Tamandua tetradactyla: one gene and its partner. The protein of the gene in region 1 interacts with the protein of each later gene in a biochemical or structural test. Links are inferred from orthologs where the notes say so. Each region holds a gene or a part of one and is shown in the gene's direction. Other genes may lie near its edges.

Evidence for each region. The genes of interacting proteins can lie anywhere in the genome.
Region 2: the proteins of MAP3K7 (region 1) and USP29 form a complex in vitro, tested with the Homo sapiens proteins (2 studies listed by BioGRID). The link is inferred for Tamandua tetradactyla from reciprocal best matches to the Homo sapiens genes MAP3K7 and USP29.

The regions. Positions count from the first base shown.
Region 1 is NC_135331.1:147,859,576-147,867,610, reverse strand, and holds the start of MAP3K7 (mitogen-activated protein kinase kinase kinase 7), read left to right. Parts: upstream 1-4,708; 5' UTR 4,709-4,930; coding exon 4,931-5,050; exon of another isoform or gene 5,051-5,072; intron 5,073-8,035. UniProt on the Homo sapiens protein: Serine/threonine kinase which acts as an essential component of the MAP kinase signal transduction pathway. Plays an important role in the cascades of cellular responses evoked by changes in the environment.
Region 2 is NC_135342.1:2,040,369-2,048,094, reverse strand, and holds USP29 (ubiquitin carboxyl-terminal hydrolase 29), read left to right. Parts: upstream 1-4,638; coding exon 4,639-7,266; downstream 7,267-7,726.

The DNA.
Region 1 (8,035 bases):
GTAGTTATCAGGGGGCTGATATGGGGCTGGGTGGTGGAGGGTGCTCAAAACAGGGGGAGAGGGACTTCAAGGAGACCATCTAAACAACTTGAGGTTTATTTCTGGAAATTTGGGGAGACACAATGAACTGGTGACTGAAGTTGAGATGAAATTGTGATGTTCAGATTCCATCTTTAATTCATGAAAAAAAAGGAATTAAAAGGAATTGCACAGTCAAAATTGAGGTAAACTAAGATGGGCTCCATTCCCCTCCCTCACTTCTCCAGATTCAAGCTGTATTATTACACAAGATCCTTTGGTTGCAAATGACAAAAATATAACTTGAACCAGCGTAAGTAAAAAATGGGAATTTACTGGTCTACACAACCAATCACAAAATGGGAGAAGTGGATGAACCCTGGGGGTGACTGGATCCAGAGACACAACTACTTCCAGAACTTTCTCTGTATTTTATCTCTGCTTCTTACTGGGTGTACACTTCATTCTCTCAATCGGCCAGGCTTTATTAACTCAGTGAGAAATATGGCCATAAGCAACTCCCAGACTGCATGTCACAGTCACCAAACAGAACTGTTCACTAACAGCTCTGGTTAGAAAAATTCTGGGAAAAATTCTGCTGGGCCCACCTTAAATCGCATGACCATGCTTGGACTGTCTTTGTTTGCCAGGGTTGCTATAACAAATACCACAGACTGGTTGGCTTAAATAACAGGAATTTATTGTCTCACAGTTTTGGAGGCTAGAAATCTAAAATCAGGGTATTGGTAGACCATGCTTTTTCCAAAGTGTATAGTATTCTGGTGGTGGCTTGCTAATGATCCATAACTTATCTTTGTTTCCATCACATGGCAATCTATCTCTCTACTCCTATGTCCAAACTTCCTTTACTTATAAAGACTCCAGTAATATTGGATTCATGCTGATTCATTTTGGTTTCTCTTAATAGCATCTTCTAAGAGCCTATTTACAATGAGTTCATATTCAGAGGATGTGCAGTTAGGATATGAATATATCTTTGTGGGGAATATGATTCAATCCATAACATGGACTGATTCCAAGAGGCATGTGTATCAGGTACAATGATTGGTCCAACCTAATATATGGCGCCTATCACTGTCGACAGTGGGCTATGGTCTACTATCAGAAGCTAAGGAAAAGGTGCCAAGCAGACAAAGAGAAAAAAAAATCTCTCCAGATCAAGAACCTGATAGTTTTTCTAAATACTACTTGACTGCATGAGTGTTCTTATTCCTTTGCTAATATCTGAAAGCATTTTTATCTGAAACCATTTACAGATCCCACTGAATAACGGCACAAATAATAAGAAAAAACCATGTTTCCCCCTTTTGTTATTTTTCATCTATTGTCACTAAATAAAAGCTAAGGTGTCAAAATAAGTACAAACTCTCAAGAAGAAGATAAGAACTCTTTCCTTGGATAAAGATTCTCTAATATAGGATCTAATATAGGATTAGATTCTAATATAGAGGAAGGGATTTCGCTTTTATATTCTGGACCAAGAATAGAGACATCCAGGCCCAAGTTTCCATGTAGTTCATCTAGGCAATATAAAATTAACAAAAATTCACTGTTTGAGTCAAACTGATCTGTGCCTTCCTTTAAGTTACCTTAGAATCTTAAAAGAGGAACTTCTAAAACATGCATATGCCTGAGCCCCACATAAAACCAATTACGTGAGAATCTCTGGAGGTGAGCCACAAGGGATCTGTATTTTCAAAATTCCCCTGGGTAAATCCAGGGGAGAAAACACTGACATTTTGTATCACCCACCAAATACAATTCACCAACATAAAGTACAAAGAAAAAAATGAAGAAAAATTTATTCATAGAATTTTTTAAAGATGGCTTTTCAACTACATACATAACTTCTGTAATGTAGAATAAAACATAATAGATGGGCTTAATGAAAACACATGATAAAATTTAGTAACAAGGACTAGTGGGGAAAGAGGGGCTAGGGGAATTGACAGTTATTGGGCCTACTTGCCTGCTTAAGCAATCTGCAAGCCAATAGGACAAGGATTGATTTCAGACTAATATCAATATCAGAAGTTCAAGTCACCAGGTAAAATATAGAAGCAGATGTATCAGAGCAGCTGATCAAAATTATGCAATATACTCACTGTGAAACACATTCAACAGAAAACACGGATAGATGGATGGATGGATATATGATTACGCAATGTGGTAGTTAGGTTCAGGTATCAACTTGGTCAGGTGAAGGTGCCTAGTTCTGCTGCTGTGGATATGAGCCAATGGTACGTGAACCTCATCTGTTGCTCATTACATCTGTAGTTGGCTAGGAGGCCTGCCTGCTGCAATGAATGATGTTTGATTTAATTGGCTAGTGCTTAAATGAGACAGCTCAACATAGCACAGCCCAAGCAGCTCAGCATACCTCATCTCAGCACTCGCAGCTCAACCCAGGCCTTTGGAGATGCACAAAGAATAACCCCAGGGAAAGTTGCTGGAACCCAGAGGCCTGGAGAGAAGGCCAGCAGAGATCACCCTGTGCCTTCCCACGTAAGAAAGAACTTTAGGTGAAAGTTAGCTGCCTTTCCTCTGAAGAACTAACAAAATAAATCCCCTTTTATTTAAAGCCAATCCATCTCTGGTGTGTTGCATTCCAGCAGCTAGCAAACTAGAACAGGCAGGTACAGTAAAACGTTAATAGAATCTTGGTGGTGGGTATATAGATGTTCACTGTAAACTTCTTTCAACTTTTCAATATGTTTGAATTTTTCATAAAATATTGGAAAGAAAATCAAGAAGAACAGCATCGTTGCTGTAGTGATTAGTTGGTTGTCAGCAGGATACTTTCCTAAACAAAGGAGTAGAAAACAGATCTTGTATTCCAGAGAAAGGGAGGCCTGGCAAAAGCTATTCATTCATTCAGAAAACATAATAAACATTTCTTGAGTTCCCACTTTGTAGCATCAATTGATCAGAGTATCAAAGACAAATAAGATATGGACCTACAGACTGTCCTACAGACTAACAGCACAAGTAAGAGGCAGTCCTAGTTTGGTAATGCAAGGAGAGGAATGACAGGTAAGAAATGATCATCCCATTGATTTAATCTGCTTCTATTTGATTATTAGTGCACTATCATTTCACGTGTAGAAATGTTCTGTTATCTCACTTGGACAACTGAATGGATAAAACCCTTCCCTGAGATAGGAAATGCACAGGGAGGGACATACTTTTGGTGGAGGAGAAATTTTAAATTTGCTTCAGGCATCATAAAGTTTAGGTGTTTATGTAACCTCTAAGTAAATATGTCCAATAGGTCCAAAATTCAGGGAAAATCTGAGCATTAGAAAAAGAATGGAAACATATGGGAAAACAAGACCTTCTGTGAGAGCCTTCAGAGACTGCTTATAGTGAGAAGAAATTATTCTTTCATTTTTTTATCCATTCGTCCAACTATCATTGTCACTAGAACTAATAAAAAACGAATGTTTCCAGAAGTTCTTAACTTCCTGATTAGAATATCCCATGACCTATTTGCAATCACAAATGTTTTTTACTTCCTTGTGTACCCCATTTATTTGATTGACTACTCCTTAATTGAAATGCTCTCCTCACTTTCCCGATTCAGACTATTTCATAGCAATCTACTTTTCAGTCTCCTACTGAGACTTAGAATTTGACAACATACGCGTAGGGTTCCATCCGTGATTCTTCCACGCAGTGTCCATAAGTGAGTTGATTATTCAAACCCACTGCCTCAACCACCGTCTATATTTATTCTTAAGTCTTCATGTCCAAGTTCAGTTTTCCCACAGTTATGCTTCAGGTCAAACTGACTGAGGTTTAGCAGCTAATTTAAAACAAAATTGCGGTGGCAACACAACATAGGCAAAATCAACAGCCTTTGAGACACACTGGTCCAGGTTCTACTAGCTTGTGAGGACCAGTAATTGTTTTAACCCGAGTTTATTTTCTATACGTACTGAAAATGGCAACAAAAATCTTTAATTTGCAAGGCGATTACTGATTAAGTTAAATGTAAAGCATCTATGGTAGTGCTCTGCACTTGACGTGTTATTAATATAGTCTCTAACGAGGTGAACACAACAAATTATGTTAAAGTATCTACCTTATCTAACTAATCTCTGAAAATATTGTAAGAACAAAATATTGACTTGTTTGTGAACACTCGGCCTTTCAGAGTTTAAAGGAACAGCAACTGTTTCCTTTTATAAACACTGAGGAAAACAAATTCTACGAGGTTTCTTAAGAACACAGCTCAGTTTACCTTAGGGCTGAAACTGAAAAGTAAGGTTGCCACAAAAACTCAGTTCAATACTATCCCGACCTCTTTGCAAGCCGCTCAGACTAAACGGAGTGAGGTCATGACAAAGTTCACCAAAACAGAGGCAAAACCGTAGTTTTAATCTTTCCCGCTGCTTCTTAAAGGACCAACCACAACGACTTCAGTCGTGCTGCACGCCACTTCCGTTCGCGCATTTTAATTATGTCAGCGCAAGAGTTCTCGCGGTATCATCCCGTTGCTGGGTCCCTGTTAACGAAGATCTCGCGAAATTTGTTTTACAAGTTCAAGCAAGCCTTTCACCCTTATGCCCCACCCGCAACCTGTCCTTCCTTTTTCTTTCCCAGGCCCCAAATTCTCCCCTCCCCGCCTTCCAGCCGCAACCCTCCGCCTGTTTCCGATTTCAGACCGGAGCCGGAAGTGTGGTGGGCGGGGCCGGGTGGCGGAAAGCGCAGCCGACCCGGAGCTGGAGCCGGGACACGGCTGAGGCTGCGGCCCCTGCCCCCGCCACGGATCGCGGGGTGGCTGGGCTGCGCTGCGCGGCTCCAGGCTGAAGGCCAGTCCAGAGGCGGGTGGGCGCGGGCCTCCCCCGGAGTGTCCGGGCAGCAGCCTCCCCAGGCTTCGCGAGGGATCATGTCTACAGCCTCCGCCGCCTCCTCCTCCTCCTCGTCTTCGGCTGGTGAGATGATCGAAACCCCCTTCCAGGTCCTCAACTTTGAAGAGATCGACTACAAGGAGATCGAGGTAGAAGAGGTGAGCGAGGACCCGCAAAGAGGTACCGGCCCTGGGCGGTCCTCGCCTCTGCCTGGTCCCGGCTCTGAAGGCGCCTCCCCGACCTCTTGGATTCTGGGCGCCCCTCAGGGTCCGCCTTGGAGTCCCCACAACCTTGCAGATACCGGGTGTTGGGGGGACTCGCAGCGCTCACCTGCTCCGAGGTAGATTTCTTTTTTCCTCACTTCGGCATTCTTAAATTTGGATTTGATAATCCAGTGCCCGGATTTGGGTCACCTCAAGTAGAAGGGTGAACTGGTGAGATAGTGTGGTCCACCAGTTCTGGTTTCTCTAAGTAGTAAATTCAGAAAGACCGTGGCCGTTTGGGAGTTTCAGTTAGTCTAAAGGCCAAGGATTGTATGACGTTCAGCTTTCAAGCTCCGTACCTGGTAGGTAGTGGGCGCTCGGTAAATGTTAAATTAATAGCTCGCCGAGTCTAAATACATTGTCTTCCAGAGTACCGAATGGTTCTCAGTTTCGTCGATTCCGTAGAGTAGGACTCGTAATCTTAACAAATGTTCTGCCTTCAGTTAGGCTAGTTTAGATAAATTTCACCATTAGTCATAGGCTGGTCTGTTATGATGGAAGGATGTTTCAAGTAGCGTATCCTGAAGCGGTAACTAAAGATCGCGGTGACAACTAAAATGTAAGACCAGTCGGGAAACCACGGTTGGAAAATCCTAATCCGTTTCATATTCTATAAAAATTTTAGTTATTTTAGAAGATATTCCAGTTTGTCTTTAATACATTGCTTATTTTCAAGTTTACAGATGAGCGATTGGCGATAAGGACTATAAATTTAGAAAAGATAAAACAGTATGAATAGACATTTTAAAACATGTTAAAAACTTTGAATGAAAATGGCATCTATTAAAGTTACCAGTTTTTAAATTTTTTAGACACTTTGCATTACATATACGATGAAGAACACAGTATGTCTTACTGAAAACTTATAGACTCGAGAAAAGTTATCTCTAAAAATCTAAAATTTAGATTGCAGTGAGCTAAAAGTGTAATATAATTCACAGTCATCAAATAAATACATATTTTTCCTATTTGATTTTGGAAGAATATTGGATTATATTTTTGTTGCAAGGAGTAATCATGGAAATTATTGAGACCAGCCTTGTTTTTATTTTTCAAGGAAATATGCTAGGAAGAACAGGATCTTTGGAGTTAGAATAAGGTGCAGTATATCAAATATGCCACTTATTAGCTGCCTGGTTGGCAGCATAATTTCCTAACTAACCCCTTTGAATTGTAGTTTCCTTAACTGTAAAATAGAGATGTTAATTTCTATCTCACTTTGTATAACAGATCCTATTAGTCAATTAAACACTATGGCAAAATACCCAACACACTGCCTGAAACATTAGGAAACTGAGATTCAGAGAGGAACAGTGACCTGCTTAAAGGTCACATGGCTAAAAGAAGATCCATATCTTGAAAAAAAAAAAGGGAGGGGGAATTTTTTTGCATGTTTTCTTCTATTGAGGCTATGATAAATTCCTTTTTCAGAAGTGGTAGTTGATCCAGCTTTCATGACTAACATTCTTTCTTTTTTAAAAATAAAAATTCAGTGAGTCAGTATACAAGAATTGCAGTTTTTAAATAAGCCTTTACGTCTACCCTGTGGCAAACTGCTATGCTTGTAGACTACAAATTGTTATATAATAATAACTTGTACTTCATGGTCTACCAATGCTTTCACAGTCTTAACTTCATTTGATTTTTAGAACAACCTCAGTTTTGCACACTGTTTTCTAAAGCTTTTGCTTTCTTGCTTCATGGAGGAATTGGAGTTAGTAAGAAGACATTATCATTTTGCAGTTCTTCCCCCAAAGGTTTTCACTTTTGGTTAGGGTTCCATGTGTCCAATGACCCTTCTTTCAGTTTTCCCACATGTCCAATGACCCTTCTTTCAGTTTAAATAATGTTTAGAACTTCGTTTGGTGGATTTAGGATATTTGTTTTCATTTTCTAATACCCATTTTATTTTCACATTAAAGGTGAATTTGGATCTTTCTGCTATTGAAACCATGACACAATTTCATCAGGTTCTTCTTTTGCTTGCATCTTTGGCATACATTGTTATATAATCCATAGTGCACCATGGGCACTCATGGCTGTTTCTCAACTTAGATTTTGCTTTTAGGTTATAATCATGAATAACAGAGCAGAGAAAGATAACCAAAAACAATAAGTATTTTGGATTGCTTTCAATATTTTATACAGTACAGGTATATTACTTTTTAAGTAAAAAAAAGTCATATTCCATATTTCTCAAATAACAATATAACTGATTGACATTAAGTGAATGTAATTAGAAACTGTGTAATATATGCTTCAATCATAGGCCAGATACACATTTTGTAGAAACAGATTTCTAAGATCATCAGCTGATTTTAATCCTTAAATTCCTAATACTGTGATTAGGAACACTTGGGCACTTCTTAAACCTAATTCTGGTAACAAAATTATATATATCAGCCTCAGAAATCTACGTAGGTACTTGTAGTCATTTAGATTTTAACATTCTGGATCTGGGTATAGAGAATGTTAGAATAAATTGTGAGGTATGTATATTGTAGACTAGGTTGCATAATATGGTAAAGGCAGTGTGGTGTAGTGAAAAGTATACTGGTCTGGATATTTAGAAAGTGTAGGGGCTGTGCTGATTTTGCCACAATATATTTTTGTAACTTTGAGCAAGTCACATTGTATTCAGGGCCCTTAGTTTCTAATGTATAATAAGGGCTTGAACCAAGATCATTTAAGGGCTCTTTGAGTTCAAAAATGAAAATGTGGTTCATTGTTTCCAGTATTTATTCTGTTTCCACAATAAGCTTAGACATTTTTTGAGAACAGTGGTCATAATCTCCCATGGAATGTAGTTGGTACCCATCTAATCATAGGTATGCAGGGCAAATGATATTCCCATTTTACAGATATGGACATGTCATCATA
Region 2 (7,726 bases), on another chromosome or scaffold:
GATTTTATTTATTTTCTCAAAGAACCAACTTTTGGTTTCATTGATTCTTTCTATTGTTCTTTTGTTCTCCCATTCAATGAACTCTACTTTAATCTTTGCTATTTCTCTTCTTCTATTTGTTTTGGGTTTAGTTTGCTGTTCTTTCTCAAGTTCCTCCAGGTGATCAATTAAGTCTTCAATTTTTGCTCTTTTTTTTTTGCCTGGGTAGACACTGGGAATCAAACCCAGGTCTCTGGCATGGCGGGCGAGAATTCTGCAACTGAGCCACCGTTGCACCTCCCTTCTTTTTTTTTTTTTTTTTTTTTTTAGAGGGAGGAAGGGAAGGAAAGACAGAGAGAAGGAAGGAAGGATGGAAGGAAGGAAGGAAGAAAGGGAAACATTTTCTTGTTTTATTGTATTTTGTTTGTTTGTTTGTTTTTTACATGGGCTGGGGCCGGGAATCGAACCGAGGTCCTCCGGCATGGCAGGCAAGCACTTTGCCCGCTGAGCCACCGCGGCCCGCCCTCCCTTCTTTTTTAATACAGGCATTCATGACAATAAATTTCCCTTTCAGCCCAGCCTTTGACACATTCTATAAGTTCTGATATGTTGTGTTCCTATTTTCATTCATCTGCAGATAGCTACTGATTTCTCTAGAAATTTCTTCTTTGACACACTCATTGTTGAAGAGTATGTTATTTAATCTCCACATATTTGTGAAATTTGTTGTTCTTTGGTGGTTATTGATTTCCAGCTTCACTCCATTATGATCAGAGTAAGTGCTGTGAATAATTTCACTGTTTTTAAATTTATAAATACCTGTTTTGTGTCCCAGCATATGATTTATCCTGGAGAATGTTCCATGCCTACCAGAGATGACTAAGTCTAACTCATTTATCAAATTGTTTAAGTTCTCTGTTTCCTTGTTGATCCTCTATCTGGTTGTTCTGCTTATAGAGGAGAGTGGTATATTGAAGTCTCCTACTATTATTGTTGAAATATCTACCTTTCCCTTCAGTTTTGCCATTGTATGTCTCATGTACTTTGGAGCTCCTTGATTAGTGGCATAGACATTTATGATTGTTATATTTTCTTAGTTGTGTCCCTTTTACTAATATATAATGTCCTTCTTTGTCTCTTATGATGTCTTTACATTTTAAGCCTATTTTGTCCATTATTAGTATAGCTACTTCTGCTTTCTTTTGGTTGCAGCTTGCATGGAACATTTTTTCCCTCCTTTCATTTTCATTCTATTTGTATCCTTGTGTCTAGATGAGTCTCTTGTAAACAGCATATGGCTGGATTGTATTTCTTAATCCATTCTGCCACTCTGTATCTAATTGGTAGGTTTAGTTCATTAACATTCAAAGTTACTTCTGTAAAGGCAGTTCTTGAATCTACCCTCTTTTCCTTTGGATTTTATTAGAGCTCTATGTTCTTTCCCCTCTTTCTCTTTTTATCCTTTAGGTTATCCTTGCTGGTACACTTCAATTCTATGCCCTCCTCCAGACCTCTCTCTCCCTTTTTTTATTCAGGCAGAACTCCCTTTAGTATTTCTTGTAGAGCTAATCTCTTGTTGACATAATCTCTTATTAAACTAAAGCCTTAGTTTGTCTGTGAAAATTTTCATCTCTCCCTCACTTTTTTTTTGCAATTATTTTCAATATTTTATCAAAAAAATCTTGTAAATTATATCTTCCTCAGTTTTGAAAGACAATTTGGCTGATAAGAATTCTTGACTGAACGTCTTTCTCTTTCAGGATCTTAAAAATATCATATCACTGCCTTCTTGCCTCCATAGTGCCAGTTGAGTAGTCTGAACTCAGTCTTATGTGGTTTCCCTTGTATGTAGTAGATTCTTTTTCTCTTGATGCTTTCAGGATTTTCTGCTTCTCTTCAACATTTGACAGACTGATTACTATGTGTCTTGGGGTATGCCTATTTGGATTTATTCTATTTAGAATTTGTTGGGCTCTTTGATTTGTATATTTATGTCTTTTATAAAGGTTGGGAAGGTTTTCCCCAACCTTCTGGGACTTGGATGATTCTTATATTTGTATGCTTTGTTTCATCTGTCATTTCCTTGAGATCCAATTCACATTTTTCATCTTTTTTCTTATTTCCTCTTTGTATGTTCCTTTCTCTAGTTTGCTTACTCTTTCTTCTGCTTTTTCAAATCTGCTGTTGTGTGTCTCTAGTATAGTTCTTTTTATTTGGTCTACAGCATCTTTAATCTCTGTGACATTTGCTATTTTTGTTTATTCTTTCAAATTCCTTTTTATGCTCTTCTCATGTCTTCTTGATCTCTTTTATGTTATTAGCCATCCCACTGATTTTATTTAGTAAACTTATATGAACATCTTCGATTTGTTGTTTCAAAGTCAGTGTCTCCTCTGATGTTTTAATTTCATTTTCAGACTGGGCTGTATCTGTTTGCAACTTCATATGGTTAGTGATCCTCTGTTGTCTTCGTGGCATCTAAATATCTTGATAGGGTTACTTTGGATGTTGATTTCTTTCAGTATTCTAAAGCTTTGTATTTGCGGAACGGGTATGGAGCAGAATGTGGGGCATTGGGAGTGACACAACAGTGCAACGATGGGTTGCGGTGCAGGTATGTGCATGGGCCGGGGACTCTACACTGGTGCCTGTGAATTTGGGTTGAGGGTCACGGAGTTGTGGACGTGCAGTGCAGGAGCCACAGGGGCAAGGTGCAGCTCAAGCACGCCTTGGAGTGCAGGGGCAAGGTGAGGCATGGGGGACACAGAGGCATGTCATGGCAGGAGGTGAACGGGGGTGCTGAGCAGTTATGCTCTGGCTTGTATGTGGGCAGGATGTGGGTGGGCACGTGAAGCATGTGGGTTGTGGGTGTCAGAGTGTGGGGTGCAATGCACAGAATCAGGGTACAGGGAGGTTGGGTGTGGGTGTGTCCTTGCACAGAGGAAGGGGTCCACGAGGGCAGGGACGTGGATGTACGAGTGTGTAGGGGCAAGGAAATGTCACGGAGGTTGGTTGTGGGACATGCATCAGGGGTGGGCGGGGCCCTGGTGCGTTGGGCAGGGCCCTGGTGGGTTGGGCAAGGGTGTGCACGCGGGTGGGGTGCGGGAGCGGTGGAGTGCAGGGGTCAAGAGTCATGCACGGATATGTGGGTGTCCAGCAGGGAGGATGTGGCTGTGCTGCTGCATGGATCTGGGGGCCAGGGCCCTGGTGTGTGCGGGTCCGGGTGGTGGGGCCTTGGTGTGCACCTGTGCAGAGCTCAGGGGCAGTGGGGTGGGATTGGGCCTGTATGGGCTGGGGGCTAGAGTGCCCGGATACACAGGTCAATCTTGTCCAGAACTGAGGCTGCTTGGTGTGAGTGGGCACGAGTGTGTGCACGTGTCTAGGGGACAGGATTCTGATATGCATGTGTGCAAAGCTCAAGGGGAGCCAGGCGGGGTTGAGTGACTGTATGGGCTGGGCTTAGTTGTGGCCTAGGTATGAAGGTGAGTGTCTGCAGCCCGGATGTGCCGGTGATTGCCTGTAGGGGTTAGGGAGGGGAAGGTGGGGGTTGAGGGGCTGGCTGGGGTACACAGGTCTTGGGAGGGGCAGGGCGAGACTGCACTTGCGCAGGAGAGGTGGGTCAGGCTGGGACAGGCTTGGGGGCACGCGCAGGGGTGGGGGAGTGGGGCAGCAGTGTACAGGGAGGGGGGTCCGGGCAGCACAGTGGGGGTCAGGTGACAGCGTTCAGGTGCGTGGGGTGTGGGGCTAGTCACAGGGCAGGGGGAGACACATGTGAGTGTAGCACATTCAAGGAACCCAGCTTGGCTCCCTTCCTTGCCCCCGTCCCTGTCCGTGCACTCCTGACAGCTCCCGCCTGTCAGGAGATGGACGCGCTGGGCTGTTTGCACTCGTTGACTGGTCTATGGTTCTTTGTGTCTCAGTTCTTCTGCTTTTCAACCAGAACCTCCCTAGGTGATGGAGAAGACCCTCCCAGGTCACTTAACACCCTGGAATTGCTCTCCCGGTCTTTTTTCTGTCAATTTTCTAGCTGTTCTTTCGAGCGGTGGCAATTCAACCTATCCTATTCCACCATCTTCTTGGGAGTCTCAGTTACTATTATATACTAATTTTACAGACATTAAAGTGTTTCATGTACTAAGAAATGATGATCATACATCTATGTGATGATATTAAGAATTACTGATTGCATATGTAGAATGGAATGATTTCTAAATGTTGTGTTAGTTAATTTTTTTTAATGAATAAAAAAAAGTGTTTCATGAATTAATAACCTAAACTCTGGGAAGGAGCCACTATTATCTATCCATTCTTCATCTGTCGATACTTACCATTCTGAATAGATCCCAGGGTTCCTTGAAGCATTGCCCATGGGGCACAAATGTCCCTTAATTTCCCGTACATTTGACCCAGTTTTGGACCATCCTTCATCTTTGACTCCTTCTTACAGCTCCCTTGAATGAATACATATTCTGAGTCTATGTTTTCTACAGCAGCATAACTTCAAAATATAAATAAATGCTCACCAAAGGAGTATTTCACCTATGGCATAAAAAGAAAACTAAAAGCAATTTATTATAATGTAGGGTTATTCCATAAACTATCATTGTGAAAGACATATTGTGTGAAAGTGTATGTGTGTGTTCTTTTTCTTTAGGTTACATGGACTTTGTTTGTAAAGAAAGGGTGACTCCTCCAGGGGTGCATGGATTCGTCCAGATTTGGAGCAAAGCGACTGGGATGACCAAGTCAAAAGAAGCATTCGTGAAAATAGTGGACAAAGAGAAGGAAATTAGACTGGTGGTTCACTTCAAGTCTGAACACTTTATAAGGACTTTTCAGTTAAATAACAATATTACAAGTGTTATCCTTAGACATCACAGGGATAAACAAAGCTACCTGCATTTAGCCCTCCAAAACAGCAGTTCCCTGTTTATCAAGAAATTGTCCTTCAGAGATGCTGAAGAGTTGAAGATATTCCTGGACAGAGTCCATCAAAACAAGTTTCAAAAATCCATGAAACTTGATAGTGCCTTTGACAGCAGGATAACACACCAGAAAATCAGCAAAGCTCCAATTCACAAAGTTTGTGACATGCCAACCTTTGGATCGTTTATTACAGAGAAAGGAAGTAGAACACCTGTCCTTCAGGAGATGCCTTCATTAACATCAGAATTGTTGACACTTGACAGGTCGGGGTTATTAGAAAATCAACGTGGGCAGAGGAAAAGAATGATGTCATCTTGTCTAGAGATGAATGACGACTTCCTGAAAGAGTATAACCCCATACTAAAGAAGAAACACAAGACAGATCCCTTGACTTATGTAGGTAGCAATATGAATAGACAGTTTAATGTTAAAGAGCTAAAAGAGAATGGAAAATTAAAATCTGGACCTTCATCAAAGGCCAATTCTGCGGGAAATCCTAATCTAGATGAGACTGCTCCTATTCAGACTCTCTATGCCAAAGGAAGTTTGAAACTTCCACTGGAGCCAAACTGTAGCCTGAATGACCCAGGACAGAATAACCCCCAGGTGCCATTTGACTCTGACCCAGAACAACTTTGGCAAGGCTTCCCCAATTTGGGAAACACCTGCTACATGAATGCAACTTTACAGTCGCTATTTGCAATTCCATCATTTGCCCATGACTTACTCAGTCAAGGGGTTCCATGGGAGAGCGTTCCTTTTGATGCTCTCATCTTGTGCTTGACCCAGCTGCTTGTTTTGAAAGATACTTCTGGCCCAGAGATCAAGAAAGAGTTACTAGTGAATGTTAAAAATTCCATTTCTGCAGTTGCAGAAATATTCTCTAGCAACATGCAAAATGATGCTCATGAGTTTTTGGGCCAGTGTTTGGATCAGCTGAAAGAGGACATGGAAAAATTAAATACTGTGTGGAAGACTGAGAGGGGGCCTGGGGAAGAAAGTTTATTTCCACAGATTTCTGCTGGCGCTGCTGCCACCAAAGTGTTTGTTTGTCCTGTTGTTGCTAACTTTGAGTTTGAGTTGAAGCGCTCCACTGTCTGTAAAGGGTGTAGTCATGTGGTTTTCAAGAGAGAATTAAATAATTATCTCTCCATCGACCTTCCCCAAGGGATGAGACCATTTCCTTGGTCTCTTCAATACTCTTTTGATCTCTTCTTTAAAGCAGAAGAGCTGGAGTATAATTGTGAGAAGTGCAAGCACAGGGATTCTGTGGCAGTGCACAAATTCAGTAGGCTACCCAGGATTCTTATTGTTCATCTGAAACGCTATTTCTTTAACGATGTTTGGTTGCTTGTGAAAAATGACCAGCAAGTTGATATTCCCAAATACTTAAATTTATCTCATTATTATGATGAAAGCACCAAACCACCCCTTTCCTTATACAGAAATGCACGTATTGGAGACTCCCAAGTCCTGAAAGTTTCTCCAGAGACAATTTCTGGGCTAAGATCAGACAAGGAGGCTGAACCACAAAAGTGTCAGGGCTTCTGTGAAGGGTCAATCCAGGAAAAGCAGCAGAGTGACCAGGGACATATTTCTGGATTAAATATAAGAGAATCAGAATTGATAAATTCAGGAAATGGGACAGCCAGTGAAAAGGAGCTGCCAGCAGCTGACTCAGTGATGGGTCAGGTAGACAACTGTCTTTCCCTGATCTGTGAAGCTGGAGGTAAATCCACCGTCAGCCCAGACACAGGACTTATAGAAGTGCCTGAAAATCCTGAACTCAAGAAATCTGTGAAAACCAACTCATTTGTAGAGTTACATTTTGACAGTGCCATTGAGTCTGCTGAAAATTTTTACGCGGATAAAGAAAACAGCTTTCCTGCAGGATCTCAAGGAATGGTTGAAAAGCTCCAGCAGTGTGATGGGGAGAGAACCAGTGAAGAATTCCATCATCAGGCACTACCTCAAAGCCTTAGGAACCTGGATGCCCAGGAACTTACAGAAGAAGACATCATTAGAGCTGCAGAACTAAGTGGGCAGAAGGCTGGCATGAATTCCCTCTGTGTATCAGAAGTTAAAGCCAGGAAACTGAAAGGAGGTGCCACGGTGGGAGATCCTCCTCATGCTTACCAGCTCATCAGTGTCGTCAGCCATATTGGCAGCTCCCCAGATTCAGGCCATTATGTCAGCGATGTATATGACTTTGAGAGGCAGGCCTGGTTCACTTACAGCGATCTATGGGTATCAGAGATCCAAGAGACTATGATACAAAAGGCCAGGCTTTGCAGTGGATACATCTTCTTTTACATGCACAGTGAAATCTTTGAGGAACTACTTGAAAAGTCAAAGAATTGACTGCTTGCAGCACAGAAGCAGGGGTGACCCTTCAGGAATAAGAGCAAGACTACTCCTTGTACAAACATGCTTGGCTGCCCCCTTTAATATCACGCTTTCATCAATAGAAGGAAAATTCTTAATTCTACCGAATGATGAAGAGACAGAAACACTTATTATGGGGTAAAGAGTTGTTGTAACCTTGCTGTGGACATGCTGGTCTCATAGTTCAGGGTGATAAGCATCTTCCTCTCCCACAAGATTAGAACGGGGCCTTTCATGTTCAAATGCAGTTTTCAAATGTTGTTTCTAAACCAGCATTGTAAGCATCACACGGGAGCTCATCAGCACTGCAAATTCTTGGGTCACACCTCATAGTGAGACAGAAACTCTGGGGTAAAAGCCAGCCATCTGATGGAGATTCTTGTACTCAAGACAGTTTTAGAACTATTGCTTCAGTGTGTAGAGTATCTTGTGTATT